Caenorhabditis elegans: one gene and its partners. The protein of the gene in region 3 purifies or fractionates together with the protein of the main gene of each other region. This does not show direct contact. Each region holds a gene or a part of one and is shown on either strand. Other genes may lie near its edges.

Region 1 (3,473 bases), on a different chromosome or scaffold from region 3:
TATCAGCAGCATGAAATACGACAGCATCAGCCGAATCCAATTGATGGCGATTTGTATCAATTACACAACGATCCTTCAAAATAAATAATTTATAACTGTATTTATTTACAATAATACCGTTAATCCTGGACAGTCTGAAAGAGCAGTTGAAGGAACAGTTGCACCGAATATTGTAGTCCAGTATAGAATTCGTTTCGGGGCAAGTTTCCCAAAACGGCTACCGATTCTATCCTGAGATACTGTTAGGTAAAGATGACGTTGTGGTCTGTGAATTGGAACGTGTGATCCATCATCATATCCGATAATCGAGTATACTGTGTAGATACCGAGAAGAGCGCAAACACCGAGAAGCAGGTATCGATAGACACTTGCTGGCCGAACCCTCATCTGAAAATCTGAAATAGTTAGGAATGGTGTGCATAAATATTGCAATCTAGATTGTCAGGCATTTCTGGAAGGATATATTCACCTTTACATTTCAAGGAATAGTATTGTAGAAAGATGATGATTTATTTTTATTGATATCACAAGTATACTTTAGATTTTCAGTTACAGATTAATATTTGCTGGAAATCAAAGTTTCACGAGCATTTCGGGAACGAGAATCGGACGGTTGATCTTTCGCATCTATCCTTTCCTTTTTAATGCGAGACTCGAGAGAATTGAAGAGGCTTTGAGCAGTCCATGGACCCTCTTCGTCCACCGTCTTTTCAGTTGGAAACGATCGCCCGAGAATGGAAACGTCTGAATGAAAATTGAAGTGTATTTGAGAGTAATTTGATATTCGAATCTCACCAACATCTCCGACTTTGAAATATCGTGTGAGTGGATGCATGGCATTTCCAAAAACGCCCGCACCTTCGTTTAATGTCAACTTGCTTCCAGTTTCCGGATTGCGGTCTCGATAACCCGCATACTCATCATTAATCTGCACACTTTCTATAGTAGCGGCTGAAAATTAATAGTAATAATTTATGCACAAAACCAAAAGAAAATGAAAACTTACAAATCCTTGCCATATTCGGGAAATTGGTTGGCGGTGCAGCGATCGTCTCCTGTGAATCATCATCATCAGTTTTCCTCTGCGATTTTCCAGTTTTTCGAAAAAGACCTGTCAGAGGGCGTGTGAGAGTCTCACTGCTGAATCCTTTAATTGGATTTTCCTAAATTAAAAACTATTTTAAAATGCGAAGATGCTTCAGAACTCAAATACCTTTAGAATCCCACCGAATCGTCCCTTCTTCCCAGTTTCCGACTCAGCACGCTGTTGTATTCTGAATCCTGGCTCGTTTGCTTCATCTAAAAACAGATGCTTATGAAAAATTATGAAATATGTCACGAGAACAAAGTGCGGAGTGCTCAAAGTGAATCACAAGACAACAGCAAAAACTTTCGAGTATTATCATTATTTCTGTTCATTTAGAAGCAGGATAGTTGAGATTAAAATAACAAAACAAGAAGCCCGTCGTCTGAAAAGAATTTAATCAATACTGCTCTTTCGGGGAACGAATTATTTTGAAAAACTACAAGCAATACAATTAAAACACTTTTCAAGTTCGTTAACAGTCCTTATTTTTGGAAGCTTATAGCTTTAAAATGTTTGTTTCAATAAATATATAATAAAAATTTTCGAGCCGCAACGCATCTGCAAGCGGAGCGTGTAGATGGGCGGGGTTTATGTCTCCAGAAGCCAATTGCCTCTCCGTAAGAGGCGTGGCCAGCCAATCAGCGCACTGCAACAGCCTCCACGAGGGGTATAAAAGAGGGAGAGTCGCGCGCGCGCGTTCAGTCGCCCAGCTCGGGCTGTGAATGGATGGTCGCTTGCGCTGCGCTCTCCTCCTTGCAGCCACCAAATCACTTGGCGGTTTCAATGGCTGCGTCTGCTCAAAATGTTGAAGAAATCAAAAAACGGCTTCAAATAGCCGCTGAAAATGTAAGCCTCGTCCCATGAATCACACCCGTCAATAGAAAAGCTTTTGAAAAATCGATAATTTCACAATAAAACAAAAAATCATTTTAATGAGGGTTATTTTGCTAATAAATGGAAGCTGGGCTTTCCCAGCATCTGTGTTTTCAGGTTGCGAGTAGATAATTTCATGTATTACTTTAATTCTTGGTTTCCTGCTGATCTGTTTTGTTATTTTATTATTTATATATATAAATAAAATTTATTTTTATAATAATGCATTTTCCATTTTTATTTTCAATTCAATACAAAAACAAACAAATAAAGAATTATCAGTTTTTTGGGAAATAATCCTGAAGATCTGAAACAGTTTTTCCCATACCATTCTTTTTTACGTTTTGATTTCAATGTATTTCGCTTCAGGATGATCAGACGTTGTGCGAATCACTGCTCAACGAAGTTCGGCCGTTGGTGACGAGTCGAGAAATTTTAGAGGTAAGGTTTGTCTATTAAAGCCACCAACACGCGCTTTTTTTTACCCGACTGTTGGGCGTGAAGCCGCCCGAGAGAGCCGAGAAGGCAGGCGCGTCCTCCTCGGGCCGCTTTGCCCCGACTGACTAGACACCCGATGGAGATACCTCCTCTGCGTCTCGAACCCCTCTCGCGTGTCTAATGCACAGTGTCTCGTTGCTTACCCCCTTTTCTCTGAACTCTTCATGTATATGTTGAGGGTAGGCAACGAGACACGCACGTCAATCGATGAATTTGAATAGACTGGCATGCTTGGATATCTCGCGCAGTGTGTAGAATGCGTATTAGCAACGAACTAAAATCATTCACAAGGGGAAAGATACTAGAAACACAAGAATTTGTTAATTCAGGAAACTCGAATTGGATTCGTCGTCAATCAGCTTCGGAGGCAGTACTTCAAAAAGTGGCCAGCTCTTTTGAGGATAAGTAGAGAAGTTATCAAATCGTGGTCCGAAATCGTGTGCGATGAGGTAATTAGTGAATTCTATGATTCCTATTCTTGTGATGAATGTAATTTTTATGTTAAAAATAATGATGATACTATAATGCAACTCGATTTTTACGAAAAACAATTGCAGGTTAAAAGGCCGCAAAGTGGAGCTTCTTCTCGAAATACAACACCGAATGTTCTTTCTCCGAGTGTCGCCAGGCTCATGCAGCGAGGAATTACACCTAATACACCAGCTGGAAGGCGGGTCACATCTACTGGCCTTCCAGGTATAATTCGATTTAAACAAGTTGATTGTTTTAAATCGACTTTACAGGTTCCCAACAGCGCCTTGTCTCGCCAGCGAACGGTTCATATGCTCCACGTAGTCAAGTTTCGCCTGGCGAGTCGACTCCTGTTGCTGCCTCCGTCGTTGTGAACGGAATGCACAAGTCAGCGTCAGTTGGTGGAGATCTTCTGAAACATGCAACAGCATCACTTTCTACAAAACCAATCACACCAAAGGAGAATGGAAAACGGAAAGCCGTCGATGAAGCTGCTGCTCCCTCAATCAAGAGAACCAAAACGGCTGCTGCTGCACTTTCAGTA
Region 2 (7,881 bases), on a different chromosome or scaffold from region 3:
TATTTTATTTCAACGGATATGAATGTGACCCTTATCGAAGCTTCTCGGAAGTATGAAAGACTTTAACTCGAAATTGAGCTATTCAACATCCAAATGGACAATCGAAAAATACACACAGAAAAGATTAATCTGAAAAAAGAAAAAATATTCACATTTTGTTGAGATTGTTTGTGGAAGAATGATCGACCAATAATCTTAGCCAGAAAGCTCTAAAAAGATGAGACTATGCCTTTCATTTACGCGGGAAATTAAATATAATTCAGTCAATTTTTCTAGATTTGTAAAACTGTAAAAATCTTTTTTCTTATTCGATAAACTTTAATCAAACATTTTACAGTCCAAACTTTTGAAAAACTCAAACAAAAATTTGTTTTATTAAAATAAAACTCATTGGCATTTCTCGACTCACAAAAACTAAAAATCCGTAGAGCCAAATAATTTTGAAATTTGTATTCCTGAATGAAAAAAGCTGATAATCTGTATAATTTATTTTTACCAGATGTAGTTTTTTTTTCTAAATTTGAACACACAGTGTAAACAACCTTGACAAACTTCCGTGGAATTAACTTCATACTATAAAAAACTACTAATATCAAAATTGGAAAAAAGTTGTTTGAGTCAAAAAGAGGAAACTAGAGGGACAAAATGAAAAAGGGACCAACACCATTTTTGTTTCAACCGAGATTTGTTCACCACTATTTTCTTTGTTTAAGTTCTTCGTCCAAATGAAATCGTTCACTCCTCCACTGGGAAAATTCATTATTTGTAAGCGGGTTTTTAAGCAGTACGCTATTTTAAAGTTTGCTGAAAAATGAAATTAGATAGAAAAACAACTATTCAAACATCTGGAAAATCCAAAAATGTAACTCCTTATTTTTTGAACAATATAATTTTTGTAGTTGGAATAAGAAATTATTGTTGTGCAATATTTTATAGTGGTTGTATGAATTTTTCTTCCAAACAATTAAGATTGTAACGCTGTAAGCACTCAATTAATCAGTTCCATAAATATGCCGGGACTCTTTGAATAGTATTGAAAATAACACTTCCGGCTCAAACATTTAATTTAAAAAGCAAGAATAGGTTTTTACTTTACGATTGAGTCTGTGTGGATTTGATCTATAAGTATTTGAAATATTGGAACATGACCGAATATCATGATAAAACACTCTAGAAAATTTTTTAACTTTCAGCTGCGGTAAATTGCCACATTTTCCAAAATTTAGGAATTTTTAAGAGAGCCTACAGTGTTCAAACACAAGCAATTGAAATGCGAAAAAAACTAGAAAAAAAAAGGAAAAACAATTTTTGTCGATTTTCAGAGTTGTAGTAGGTGAAAATTGAATGTGTTCCACTGACTAACTCACTGCGACCACTTTTTGAAAAAAATTTCAATCGATTTTCGAAACTTTCTACTATGGTATGTGGTTTTTTTTAACAAGTGAGTGGCTTTAAAGAATTTATTTACTGACCATACTTTATTGTTTGCGTTTTCAAAACTGTGAGCTTCTACCTTTTTGAAAATGTTGAGTTTTAGAGAAATACAAATTATAACCATTTCTATCGGAAACTGTTTTGATTTTTTTGTTTCATGAACCTATTTCAGTGCTATTCGACGGTTTTAGAAATTAATTGCCAAATTTTTATTGCTTCAAATTTTATATGTGGTTTTTTTTGTTGTGAATTCGAGTATTTTTGTGCAACATTTTTTCTCTAGGCCAAACTAAATATTTTATGCCAATTAAATTTTCCTCCGCTTAAAACACAGTGTGCACTGCACCTGTCCCACATCTCTTTTGCCGTGAGTGTCGTTAACTGCGCGTTGCCATGGCAATAACGCTTGCCAAAGAGGAGGCTGTCAGCAATTGCGTTCCAATTCTTTGTCTTCCGTCGCCGTTTTAAAATATTGTTGTGATTACTTTTTATCGAACAATATGCCGCCGATGTTGAATGTTATGGCAAATTACAATGAGAAAACAATTGGAAAATTGACAATGTCCGTGTTCCGAAAGGTAAATTAATTCTTCAATTTTAAAAAACTTATGATTTCACTGAAAACTTTAGTTCAATTTGGGACTTCCCGAACACGGACAGCTCCATTTTGCCGAGTGGAACTACAACAGTAATTATATTGCATGCGGTGGTGCACTAGGCAAGCTGAAAGTCGTCAAGATAGGAACGGATGCCACTGATTTGAATAAATCCCCAAATGCTGCAACTCTTGTGGTGAACCAAGCTTTGGAGGGGCATAATGGTAACTGAAACTTTGTAATTTAATTTAACAACAATTTAATATTTGCAGCAACTGTGATGAATGCTACGTGGAATGAAAATAATCAAAAACTGACAACGAGCGACACGTCTGGATTAATTATTGTATGGGGAATGTTCAACGAACAATGGTGTGAGGAAATGATTAATAATAGGTAACATATGATTTTTCAACAAACATGTGGGACCTGGTCTCGACGCGACAAGTTTTTGTTTTTCACATTTTGTTAATTGCAAAAAGAGTATACGTCTTTAAAAGGCAATTAACTTCAAACTTTTTAAACGATTTCCCATAGTTTTTGGTATATTTTTTAAGCAGTTTGATAAAATATAACAATGCAACAACATAAAATTCAACAAATCGCAAAAGAAACTATAAACATTCAATAAAAACTCCGCAGCGACAAGATTTTGAAATTACAGTACTGTGTAATGTCTGGGTATTAATAGTATATTCCATTAACATAAATTTATTAATTCAGAAACAAAAGTGTGGTTGTTTCAATCTGCTGGAATTTAGAAGGAACTAAAATTGCCATAGCATATGCTGATGGAAACGTGATTGTCGGGACGTTGGAAGGAAATCGAATATGGAATAAAGAGTTGGAAATACAATTGGCTGCGTGCGAGGTAAGCGGCATAAAAGTAATATTAATTGAACCATACAAGTTAAGTGGGCGCCTGATGGAGACATGCTGATTTTTGGAACTGCTGACGGAAAAGTTTCGGTTTTTGATGACAGTGGATCACATTTTGTAAGTTTATTTAACAATATTTTAAGACTATTCAGCAAATTAATTAATTTTGTAGTTGGATATTCCCATGCACTGTCTAGAAGCGGAGGATCTGGAGCAAGCATTAGCAAAGAGTTAGTTATAGCAGTCACATAATTCTTTACATATATTATTTTTTAGAAGAGCATCAAAAGGAGGAAATCGTCTGCTTGAAATACTGGAGTCCAACGTTGAAATCAAAAACTATTTTGGATGAAATGGAGAGAGATTTTGAAAGAAAATTAGAGAAGGATCGTGAGGTAACTGGAACGGCGATCTTCACTAATTTCCCAACAAAACCACCACCAAAAGAGTTGCCGGAACATGAAAAGAACACGGAGCCCTATCAACCAGTTCCTCCAGATCGTCCCCGATTTGTGGTTGCCTATGCGAGAGGAATGATGCAACTGATGAGATCTTTAAATGATCCAGGTAAGTGTCGTTGAGTTTTAGACAGGTCAACAATTTTAAATTTTGAAATTTGACGAAAGGGTCAAAAGTTAAATTTAAGTGCACTATTGAAAAATAGCTATATATTAGTATACTAATTCAATTAAAAACACTGGACAACACTAGAAATCAGAGGTGACTTAAGTTATGAAATTGTACAAAAATTACCTATTGCATCATGGCATTCCAAGTTTTATTCTTGACAAGTAATGTCAGAAAGAAGGAAAATACTTGCCTAATTTGAAAATATCATAGGTTTCAATTTGGCTGACACGTTTGAAATTTTTGAGACTTAACTGCTTCTTCATTTAATTTTCCTGGAAAGTTTTACTAAAAAAAAATCAAAACATGTAATTTCAATAATTATAAACATTGAAACTCCCTTTCATACATTTTTGCATTTTCAGAACCAGTCGTTGTTTCTATTCCGAATTTCAAAATCACTGGAGCCAAATGGTCGCCCAATGGAGCTTTTTTAGCAGTCTGTGGAAATGATTCAGACAAGGACGAACCAACTTTTTCAAAAATTCATTTTCTATCTGCTTACGGACATGTAAGAATTTTTATAGTTTTGCCGTGTGCACACAAAATTGGTTTTTTAGATCGTTGGATATTTTCAAACAAACGACTCTTGTATAACAGGAATTTGTTGGGAGTCAACAGGTCTTCGAATGGCGATTGCAGCTGCCGGAACTCTTCTCATTGGACAAATTCGCCCAGAGTTTAAGGTATGACATTCATAATATATTTTCATAAGTCCTTTTTTCACAGTGGGGATCAATTGAAGAAACAATAGTCTACGTTTACCAAAAAGAGGAGCTCTACCAATACGGCATAATGTTTTATGACTACAAGGTAATCAAAAACTTGATTTGCATACAAAATTTTAAGAATTTCACAGACTGATGAAAAAACTGTCAAAACTGTGACTCATTTCGAAAATATGGCCTTTTATCGGGAACATTGTGTTTTGATAAATCGACAGGATGACGGAGTCATACCACATGTAAGTACCAAGCAAGTGACGGGATGCTGATAGCTGATTTAGAAAGTTTTCCATATGGGGAATTAGGTTATACACCATCTACACTTGCTACACAATTCCGAGGCAAAATGTAAATTATGTTTCAGTACTTCTGTCAACTCTGTAATAGCATCGGAACATCACTAGACTACAACGTGACAACGGTTCGTCCAAAGTTTGCATGTGTTAATGGAATTTGTGCGGTGATTGCTTCTGAGGATAGATATTTTATCTGGCATTTTGTACTTCCAAAGTTTAACTCCGTGCAAGCAGGAATTCATGTCCCTGGAAAATCTGGTATTTGCGAAAAACGGTAACATATAATATTATCAGTATTCTTATAGGTGATTACGTTTTGGAAGAACAACAAAGAACAATTGAGTATGGCACTAAACGTTTAGTGAGTTCATCCAATTTTTAACAAATTGAACACAAAAACTGATTTTTTCAGCTTGGGAGCAAGGATGAAATTTGTGCTCTTTGCATTGGTGATACTTTCTTTATGATGGTAAGTTTGTTAAATAAAAATTGAAAATAGTGTAGTGCCAGTAGTGATTTTGCACATTTTGTCCGACGAAACTTAAAAATTGTCTAAATTTTGACTTATATTAATAATTAATTTTGACTTATTCACTTTTACTGAAAGTTCGCTCTTAAATTTCAAATTTTGAATTCAAAATTTCCCAACACTTTATGACAAGATTTTAAAAAAAGTTCAAGTTTTGAAAAATAACTTTTACCTATAATCTGAAATTTCGACAAACTTTTCTGTGTCAAGGCGGCTAAATTGATTTTTAATCTGAAAAGTAGAAATTCACTGAAAATGTAAAACTGGTTTCCCTACTTACTTAGAAAGAAACCTGAAAAATTTTGTAAACCACAAAATGAAAATGATTGAAAAATATTAAAAATCGGAACTCCTTTTTTTTAAATATTTCGGGCGGTAATTTTTTCTGCCATCTTTTTCACTAAGAAAACTTTCAGGCGTTGTTAAGCGGTGGAATCTATAGAGTATCACTAAATGACGGAGTTATCACTAACAGCTATCCAGTTTCCCCATCTATCAATTCCATTAAGTTGAATTGTACTTTTACCCGCCTGGCAGTTATCAAATTGGTTGAACGTAAGTCATTTGTGCTTATTTATTGTTTAAATCATTTATTGGAACAGGGCGTGAAAGTCGAATAAGTCGTAGATAACTTTCAGAAGTTCCATTTCAATTTTTGTTGTATGAGTTCGACGGTGATGAATTGAAGCTGATTTACACAAGTGATAAGAGAGACGTCTGGGATTATGAATGGGATCAGGTTTGTTACATTATTTTATTTTTGAACAATTTATTACCTGAAAATATTTCAAGAACAATAGCAACATGCTTGCCCTCAAGGATAAGCAGAAAATATTGATTTGTGACGGAAATTCAATACTGGAGCAGTCATCTGTGAATGGAAGCATTCTGCTGTTTCAAAATTTGGTTGTTACCGCCGTCAACATTGAGAAAATTTTACTGACTCCCGAAAACCCAACGAAAACATGCATAGTGGAGGTTATGATAAAAGCAAAACAAGACGTCATGAACCTTGTCAATGCGATGAAACTCGAAGAAGCCATAGATTACGCGGAGCGAAGTCCTCACTCGGAGCTTTGGAGCATGATTGCGAACTATGCAGTTTTTAAACATGCGTTCGATTGCGCAGAACACGCGTTTGTAAAACTTGGAGATTACGCAGGGGTTCAGTTGGTCAAAAAATTAAGGAATATCCAGTCAAATGATTTGAGGAATGCCGAAATATACGCATACCGTGATACACTTGAAGAAGCAAAAACTGCATTTTTGCAAGCTGATAGACGGCAAGTCAATCGATGCATATAAAGCGTGAATGTACAAAATCCAAAATCTAAAAAACTTTGTTGTTCTTTGTCAAGAAAACCTCAAAATTAAACGGTCCCTACTTACTAACTCAGCGTCGCACAATGTTCACTTTGCAGTAACGATCCACGCCCTCAGTAAGGTAAATATAGTGCCGTGCGGAACCCAGTAGATGTCGGACCACGAAATCAGTTACTCGTCTAATGAAGTACTGAAAGGTTTTGAGTGTGGATCCTTTCAGGACTCCAAATGTATATTGATATTTAGTTTTCCAAATTTAAAATAGTTGAATACTGAATGATTACTAAAAATTGAAACTTTAAATTTATAAAGTTGAAATTTCAGAGACCTAGCTGTTGAAATGTACAAAAAGGTTGGTGATTACGCATCTGTATATGATTTGATTCGAAATGATGACGATGATGAAGGGAAATGTGATGCATTCAGAAACATGGCTGAAACACACTACGAAATGATGGAATGGTAATATCTTTCTAATTTTTTTAAAAATTATAAATATGGCTTCCACGCAAACGCCTGCTATCCGGCGTGCGGCGCGCAACCCAAAAAGTGTCGGACGCTGAGAAGCATACATTTATCCTATATTTTCAGGGAAGAAGCCGCCAAGGCTTACTCCTATTGTGGAGACACCGCAAATCAGATTGATTGTTTGATAAGAGGAAATCTTTTTGGAGAGTTGGAAGTTCTTGCTAGAACTCTCTCAGATGACAGTGAATTTATGGAGGTACGATTTTTTTTTAGAAAGATGTTGCTTTACATGTTCTTGTTTTAGGTAATGGGCGATGCATTCACATCTCGCGGAATGTGTGACCAAGCTGTTGAATGCTATTTAAGACGGAGCCTGCCACAGAAAGCATTGCACGCGTGTAAAGAGCTGAATCAGTGGCAGAAAGCACAATTCATCGCTGATGCAAATCATATGGAAAATGTGGAAGGACTATTGGGAAAATTCGCGGTTGAAATGCGAGGAGGTTTGTTTATTTTTTAAATTTTTATGTTAAATTCTAATTTTTGTCATTATTCAGAAAGCGACGAGAAATCATTATCTGCTCTTGCACTTTATATGCGAGCAGGAAGACATCTTGACGCCGCCAAAATAGCGTTTGATGCAAGTTTCCGTCTCTTGTTTTTTATGTGAACCCCACAATTTCCTTTCAGATTGCAAAAGACAGAAAGTCAAAGTATGTCCCATATGAAGAGTTGAAGCAGTGCTACGTGCTCGGTGCAGTTCTCGTAGAAAATCACAGGCAAACTATCAAGGAGTTGAGGAAAATTGATGTAGCTGATTTTGAGAATTGAAATACATAAATAATTGATTTATTTCAGAAGCACAATTTTCTGGAGGATGCGTTAGATGATGAATCCGGGTTGAGTGCTGAGCAGTCAAGAATTTTGGAGAATACCTGGAGAGGAGCAGAAGCTTTTCATTTTATGATAATGGCACAACAACACTTTTTCGAGAGTAAGAATGT
Region 3 (7,704 bases):
AATTCTTGAATTTTTTACTCACTCTAAAACACTCTGCAGTTTCCTCAGTTGAACTACATATTTTTTCAAATCCTCTTTCAATGCATCAAGTCCAGTCGTGGACATATTTTTTTGTTCTGCTTCCAGAACACAAACTGCCGCCATTTCCAAAGCTCCCATCGATTTATCAAGAGTTCTCAAATGTTCGGCTTCAATCTAAAAATAAACAAATAACATGTCAAACACTAAGAACCTCATACAATTGCAACTGATTTGTAGAAATTTCCAAGATGTTCAAAAGATTGTGATTTTGTATAAAATGTTTCGATATCTTTCATTGTCTGCTGATTATCTTGCCAATCAGTCGTTTGTAAGAAATTGGCTGCCAGAATGTAGATCTCCTTGTTTCGAGCAGTGTTTGCAAAAAATCGAATTTTTTGAATGTCTCCGGATTTGAGAAGAGCTCTCATTGCCTGAAATGGAAACTGAGCATTATATAAATTATACCAACATACAGATAGTTTGTCTCCTGCTTGTGTAAACTTCTTTGCTGCTGCTGAGTAGGCACCTTGTTGAAGACAAAGCTCCGCCACTGTTTCAAGAACTTGTTTTCTTTCTTGTACATTTGGCATGTCATCTTCAAAATGTGTAAATTTTACATGAATCTCAAAAGAAAACACGAACCTTTTGTTGGAGTCATAAGTTCTGCAAATTTATCACTGACTCTCACATTCCTATTTTTGCATAATTGTACGGCTCCAGAAAACTCTTTTGCTAGGCACAAAAAGTTAACTGCCTTCTCGTAGTTTTGATTATTTTCAAAGAATTCAGCAGCTCTTCTCAATATTTTTGGATCTGTTCCTGCATCCAAATCCTTGGTAATTAAATCCAGAGCGCTGAACTGTTCAGTACGAAATGCCAAATCAAGAGCTCTTCCAATCATTCCAGCTTTATGATACAGCATTACAGCTTTGTGTGCATATCCAGGAAGATCTTCGTAGTATCTTGCAGCGCTTACAAGTTCAGATCCACCCGCCATCAAGCATAAATTAGCAAGCCTATCTTTCATGTCATGCTCTTTTGCGAGACGTATTGCAGATGACAGCGCTCGTGCCTTTGTGAAGAATTTCACAGCTTTCACTACGTCACCATCATTTTCATACATTCTTCCAATTAGATAACACGCTGCTTTATCTTTTGATTCTTCGGCAAGCCGAGCAGCCTCATCGGTTTTGCCTTGAATACACTTTACACGAACCATGCAGTAATAATCTTTTGCAGAAGAGTAGAAGCTTATTGCACCCTCCAATTCTCCAACACTTTCCAAGTAGGCTCCCCACCAACTATACAATGATCTGAATTTTTGTGAATTAATATTTTTTAGAATTTTTGAATAAACTCGCTCTTCACGTTTTCTACGAACATATTGTTCTATTTGTTTTGGATAGTCTTTGAGCATTCGGAAAACTTCAAAAGCATGAACTCCTGCTTTTTCGTAACTGAAAATATATTTTTTGTTATCATTCAAAACTACAAATAAACCAACTTCTCAATAGCAGCTTCAATACTTGCTTGATCTCTTCTTGCTTCCAAATACTTTGCATAGTTGTAATGAGTATTTCTCAAATGAATACGATCCTTTGTTTCAGCAATTTCAAAAGCTGATGACCACATATTTTGAGACTGATAAAGCTTGTTCATCAAATCATATCTTTCATTTTGTGCATAGATAATCAATGCTTCCTCCAGCATACTCAATTCAATTGCCAAAGCTGCACACTTCATTGAATCATTCTCCCCATTTTGTTGAGATCTCCGCACCGCCCGGGCTCCTCTCACATTTTTCATATGTCCCAGACAAACCATTGCAACATCTAGTCGACGTGTTTTAATACTCATTGATGCCATATGATCCCATACACTATCGCTTAAAAATCATAATCACAAATAGAGTTTCTTGAGTTAACAACGGACCTTTTTATGAATTGAATTGCTTTAAATGCAGCGTCCATGCTACCAATCGTCAGGTAAAATGAGAAATCCATCATGGCTTTTCTAGTTGATTCGTCACAATTTTCGTTTCCTGAAATAAATGTATTTTTATAACTTGCAACTGGGTCCTTTCATACCTAAAAACTCTCGAAGACATTTAGCCACGAGAGTTTTTCCAATAGTTCTCTCATCTCGATTGTCTTCCTCATCCCATCCAGATTTCCGAACAAAATAAAAATTTGGAACAGAGACTGAAACAAGTTTTCCACAATGCAGATTTTTTTGCTGCATTCCTTGAAGTTGTATTCCATGTTCAGAAGTTACAAATGCTGTTAAAACTCTTTGATCGGTCTGAAAACAAGATGGAAGTTTTCTAAGTTTTTTTAAACAATTGACCTGGTTAAAAATGTGTTATATTGTTTTGAAAATTCTACATTTGTCCAGATTGAAGTAACTTACTGATTCAGGTTCAACATGTATGCATTCAACTACAAGATATCTTGCATCATTCTCATCCCATTCAAAAGCTCCAGGACGATGGTTCATCATTTGAAATCTTGATTGTTCTCTTGCCATTTTCCGTGCAGCTGCTGTAACAGGTCTTCCACTGCTTGTATGAGCAAGTTCTGCTTGGGTTTCATATTCTTGCGTATCTGTCATTCCACGATCAAACGAGAAATAAGAAACTGCATCGAGTTCGGCGTCGTAGACAAGTAGGCGTTCAGCAACTGTCGACACGTCCTGAAAAATTTTAAGCTCCTGCATTATTTGCAACAAAACAACTACCTCTAAATAAGATACAGCGACTTTATTTCCAGTATGATTGATTCGGATTGTATGAAATTTATAAAAATTCTTCACATTTTCGATAATGTATTTCGAATTGTGTTCTTGTTGGGCATCTCTGAAAGTTTAATATCAATAAATCAATAGCTTCTAGTAAATTTTTGTACTTTGCGCTTAAGTTATAAATTCGAATGAATCCATTTGTAGTAGCAACTGCCATCCAACATCGATTCACTTCAAGTATTTCCGGATCACCTTCAATTTCCGGTAAGGAAATTTCTTGTCGAAGAGTTCCTTGAAGAGTCCTCGCAAATATTTTGTCTTTTTCGATGCAATACAAGTTTTGATTCACAATTGCAACAGAAGTTGTGTTACAAGAAAATGATGTGCATTGGATAGTTGCAAGAGATGTTTGTACGTCATAAGTGACTACCTGCAAATTTTTATTAAACCGGTGATTCAGAATATCTGTTGAATACCGTATCTTCATTCCAAACAACAAGTTGCTTCTCTCCGAGACAAATTCCTTTTGCAGAAGGAATAGACAACTTCAAATCTTGAGAGACTCCACTTGTCGCATGTAAAAGAGTGAAACTATTTGAACTGGTCTGAATTGCCGCCATTTTTCCACGCATTTTTACTGTCAATGAGTTTTCTCCAATTAAGACAAGATCTTCTTCAGTTATTAAAGCAGCTGTGCTCAGTATCGGACTCCAACGAATTAATGAAACCTTAAATAAGCTCTCTTAAAATTAGACGTTTAGGTTATCATAATAATTGCATTTTAAGTATACCTTAATGTAAGTTAAAAAATTATAGTGTTGTAGTTCCGGTTAGAGGCATTGGCAGCACTCAGCAAAAAATCAAAAGTATGGAGTTAAAAAATTCACACTAAAACACATAGACTACCATATCAAACATCAAAAAACAAATTAATTTTGTGAGGTTGAGTGAATTGGCTATAACTATGTTGACAAATGAAGTTTGAATGACAACTAGCAAAATAAACGTTCTCAACCGAAATAGATGAAAAAATATACACTATTAAAATACTATGTTTTTGTGGAAAACTGAAAAAATTTCCTACTTTGGAAAAAGCTATTTTGTTTTTAGTTCAGTTCTATAAACTCAAAATTTATAAGAAACTCGAATAGGAATAACATTTGGAGGATATTCTCATCTAACATTCTAAAAGGGGATTAGCGTGTCATCTTCACTCACCTGGCTATCGACATGCGTGCTGGGACTCAAATTCCAAGCACTCTCGACATTAGTATCAGTTCGTTTTCGTTTCCATTCAGCAATATTATTGAGACTCGTTGCCGCAGTTATCACACCTGATCAATATTTTCTTTGATTACCTCTATTTCCGGTTTTCTTACCTCTTTTCCCATTAACTGTGACTACATTTATTGTCTCATCTGGTTGAAATCCCTTGTTTACATCTAATGCAATTGTTCCATTCTCCTCTTTTATCAAGTCCCATACTCGAATTTCTTTTTCACCATAACACATCACCAGTATTCCATCATCCAATTCCAAAGAATATTTTTCAGATTTTCCTCCGAGTTTCACTTTTACTCGTTCTGCGCATCGCATTTCAGATGTTCCCTTGGCCAAATGAAAAATGAAGCAATCTCTTGTAAATACAATAATTATCGATATTGTCTCACAGTATCCCATGAATAAGATTTCCGAGTCCAGCTGAAAATTTTTCCAATTTTTTAATTTTAGATTTTTAAACATAATTTGAGTTTTTATTTATGAGTAACCACTAGTCAGATATGTCAAAAATAATAATATTTGGATAAATTTTTAAAAAATTTTCTGTAGTTCTGTTTGTATTTTTGAATAGAATTTTTATATTTACGAGAAAATCAAAATCTTCTTAAACAAATTCTTGATGCCTTTTATCTCTAAAATTATTTTTGGAGCGGTCAAAGTAACTTCTCTACAGCATAGGTGAATCTGGACCACTGTAATGTAAAAGACTGTTGTGAAAAGAGGCGTGAGTCTTTAAAGAGAACAGTATTTCCTACTCGTCGCTTTTTTATTGGAGTTTTCTTACAATTAAATTTTTCCTTTGCCTTCTTGCATTTTGCTTAATAGTAATTAATTGGCATACAGTGCGTGCAACTTCCATAGAAGTAGAATTTATAAATTTTTTTACTAAACATGGAAAATTTTGAAAAATTATAAACTACTGTATTATTTCATCTGCTTGTAAATATTTATTAGGAACCAGAACTCTTCAATACAAAGTTGGCTACATTTGTGCATAGACTAGTAACCTTTATCCTAGCTCACCTTATGAATAGTCCGTTGTCGGTCATTATCCACTCCATAAATGGTACCTGATTTGCCTGCAAATAAGAACTCAGTACCCTTTGGTACAGTACTCTTTTCATCTCTTCTTTCTGCCAGTGACTCTTTTGAACCGAACGGTGACTCATCAACTCCACTGTCATCATCCGTTACAGAAATTTTACTTGGTTTGAATCTTAAATTTTACCATTTTTAATTTCACTCAGATTTATGAATTATATTACTTGTCATAGCTCAATCGTTTACACCATAACGTAATTTGATCGTTCAGCTCAATCTGCATTATATTTGAAGTGGAAATTTCTTCTCCAATTACCATGTAGGAGTATAAATGGACTGATGATGGCTGAAATTAAATAAAATAATTTGTAAGTTTTTTAAATTGATACTCACATTATGCAACGTCATCAAAACAGTTCCGTCGTGGCTCCAATCTACTCCTTGATTTGGAAATGGATATGTTTCGACCACAGTATGAGCTGAAATGAGTTTTCCATTACTAAAACATTATTTATATATATATATATAACTTTTTGTAGTATTAGTTTTTTGAAAATCACTCACAAACATTCCCTCCTTTTGGAATAAAACAAACTCCTCCATCTTTCCATCCTACTACCACGAATTGTTTCTTTGGATGCCATCTTACACAAGAAACTGATCCTGGTTTTGATGGCCCCTTTTCTTGCACAGATCCCTTAAAATTGTTTCAATTATTATCTAATAAACGGGAAGATACGCTCAAGTACATATTTGTTTTAAAGATCTATTGAAAATAACTCAAGGATTTAGCTTTGATCCATGAATAAAACAGATTATAATCTCGTTCGATTGTTCATTTTTCTTACTGAATGATCCGAAAATGCGACATTTGCTTCTCCAGTTGTCTCATCTTGAGTTACAACACAAATCCAACCACAGTGAGGTGCCCATTCAATTAAAAATGGTTTCATTTATGTTAATAATTGAAGAAATCGGGAAGTAAGGACAAAAAGTAAACAACAAAGGGGAGATGCGTGTTTTGGTTGCCATGGAGATTTTGCTCGCGGGGGAAGGCGGAATAGATATTCGAATGGAATTGGAAAGAAAGGGGCAGTATTGAAGAAAAATGTCGATTTAAAACCAGATAAGTGAATTATTAAAATTTCGGGGAAACATCTAGATAAATTCGGAAAAGGGGATGTTTCAAGAAAGAACTTGGGTTTGAACTGACGGGCAAAGGCAAAAAAAAAGACAAAATAAGTACATAATTTTCCTGGGTTCTTATCATGAATAAAGTTCCCCCACAAATGTTGAACATTAAAACATTTAACATAAATCAAAGTTGTATTGGAAATCATTTACCCTACTATGTACATAAGTACAGGGTGGCCCATAATTATGGGGACCGATACTTGCGTCTATAAAATTTGATGCAATCCTTCAAAAAAATTTTAACAGCATAGGTTTTATTCCCCATATTCTTAGGAACAAAATATGTTATTAAACTTTGAAAATATCATTATGTGACACGTTACACACCTTCCGACGTTCCGAAGTTAAATTGTCGCTGGCGCGCTAGTGTGGGTGTTTTTCTTTCTAATGATGTCTTCAGCGACTCCTGCCAGTTTAAAAAGTTTACTATTACTTTTTAAAATGACATTGACTGTAGAATACGTATTTCAAAACAATTCGTCCATTTTAATAATTTTCCGTTAGTGTGGCCATTGATTGAAGGGAGATAGGTTGAAAAGCTCAAAACGCGCACATTCGACTCGGTTTGAAAGTCAGGAGACGGCGGAATTTTTTGAAAATAATATATTTCAGATCTACAGTCCAACTTCTACTTTTGTGTAAAAAATTATGTCCCTATCATTCCAATGACCTGAGATATTACTGAATATGCAAGAATGTGTGAAAAAATCGCTCAATTTTTTGCGAAAACGGGATTTAGCTAGTTCCAAACAATTGTCCATTAGAAGCTGGATTCTAATGAAACTTGTTTTTCTTTTTTTGTATACTGTGAGAATATATTTTGTGGTTCTAAAATGCACAAAACACTACAGAAAAAATCAGTTTCAACATTTAGAGAACCTAAACTATGCAAAAAAAAGTTGCGCGCCAGAAGGGTGAAAACATGTTACACTCCCGACGCTGCCAAACTTCTGTTGTTCGACCAATCGAAAAGTTTTTTATGTTAGCTGATAGAAAAATATTTTGTCTATCAATAAAGTAACAAACCCTCATTTTTTAGTTTGTGAGACGTGAGATTTGCGTACAAAACTACGGTCCCCATAATTATGGGCCATCCTGTATATTATGAAGATAAATGGCACTTTGACCGCAAACCTATAGATCAAGTTAACTTTTATTTCCATTTTTTGATCAGAAATAAAAACACTTTGGAAGGTTCTTATGCTGTAATTTAAGCAATTTTTCAATGGTCATATCTGTTCACAACATTATTTGATTACTTCCAATATAAATGCCCAATTTTATATTGAACCAATGGTTAGAAACATCTCTTCTGCCTACGTCGTGATCAATTACATACTTATAAATCCTCTGTACTGTTCAGAATATAGTTTGACCTACAACCCGAGCGTGATTCATAATTGTTACTACTTTCATCATTGGTCATTA

Evidence for each region.
Region 1: the proteins of che-11 (region 3) and ift-43 purify together in Caenorhabditis elegans (affinity purification with mass spectrometry, with the first as the bait; one study listed by BioGRID). This does not show direct contact.
Region 2: the proteins of che-11 (region 3) and ifta-1 purify together in Caenorhabditis elegans (affinity purification with mass spectrometry, with the first as the bait; one study listed by BioGRID). This does not show direct contact.

The regions. Positions count from the first base shown.
Region 1 is NC_003280.10:5,659,381-5,662,853, forward strand, and holds ift-43 (Intraflagellar transport protein 43 homolog), read right to left. Parts: upstream 1,407-3,473; coding exon 1,391-1,406; intron 1,300-1,390; coding exon 1,214-1,299; intron 1,164-1,213; coding exon 1,007-1,163; intron 952-1,006; coding exon 796-951; intron 745-795; coding exon 557-744; 3' UTR 501-556; downstream 1-500. Other genes in the region: Alpha-(1,3)-fucosyltransferase fut-3, read right to left, coding at 1-73, 118-387; mdt-26 (TFIIS N-terminal domain-containing protein), read left to right, coding at 1,814-1,933, 2,330-2,401, 2,788-2,907, 3,016-3,154, 3,202-3,473. UniProt on the Caenorhabditis elegans protein: As a component of IFT complex A (IFT-A), a complex required for retrograde ciliary transport and entry into cilia of G protein-coupled receptors (GPCRs), it is involved in ciliogenesis.
Region 2 is NC_003284.9:5,546,750-5,554,630, reverse strand, and holds the start of ifta-1 (Anaphase-promoting complex subunit 4-like WD40 domain-containing protein), read left to right. Parts: upstream 1-1,878; 5' UTR 1,879-1,934; coding exon 1,935-2,012; intron 2,013-2,064; coding exon 2,065-2,254; intron 2,255-2,302; coding exon 2,303-2,426; intron 2,427-2,753; coding exon 2,754-2,901; intron 2,902-2,945; coding exon 2,946-3,026; intron 3,027-3,081; coding exon 3,082-3,139; intron 3,140-3,185; coding exon 3,186-3,476; intron 3,477-3,901; coding exon 3,902-4,047; intron 4,048-4,096; coding exon 4,097-4,222; intron 4,223-4,265; coding exon 4,266-4,349; intron 4,350-4,395; coding exon 4,396-4,500; intron 4,501-4,625; coding exon 4,626-4,815; intron 4,816-4,862; coding exon 4,863-4,918; intron 4,919-4,969; coding exon 4,970-5,026; intron 5,027-5,502; coding exon 5,503-5,641; intron 5,642-5,724; coding exon 5,725-5,825; intron 5,826-5,878; coding exon 5,879-6,369; intron 6,370-6,733; coding exon 6,734-6,871; intron 6,872-7,000; coding exon 7,001-7,133; intron 7,134-7,181; and 8 more.
Region 3 is NC_003283.11:12,144,655-12,152,358, forward strand, and holds the start of che-11 (WD_REPEATS_REGION domain-containing protein), read right to left. Parts: upstream 6,054-7,704; 5' UTR 6,036-6,053; coding exon 5,931-6,035; intron 5,780-5,930; coding exon 5,647-5,779; intron 5,562-5,646; coding exon 5,476-5,561; intron 5,429-5,475; coding exon 5,307-5,428; intron 5,258-5,306; coding exon 5,065-5,257; intron 4,462-5,064; coding exon 4,140-4,461; intron 4,095-4,139; coding exon 3,979-4,094; intron 3,489-3,978; coding exon 3,237-3,488; intron 3,191-3,236; coding exon 2,925-3,190; intron 2,876-2,924; coding exon 2,758-2,875; intron 2,713-2,757; coding exon 2,431-2,712; intron 2,323-2,430; coding exon 2,109-2,322; intron 2,063-2,108; coding exon 1,954-2,062; intron 1,907-1,953; coding exon 1,526-1,906; intron 1,479-1,525; coding exon 1,383-1,478; intron 1,335-1,382; coding exon 664-1,334; intron 617-663; coding exon 495-616; intron 453-494; coding exon 240-452; intron 196-239; coding exon 23-195; intron 1-22.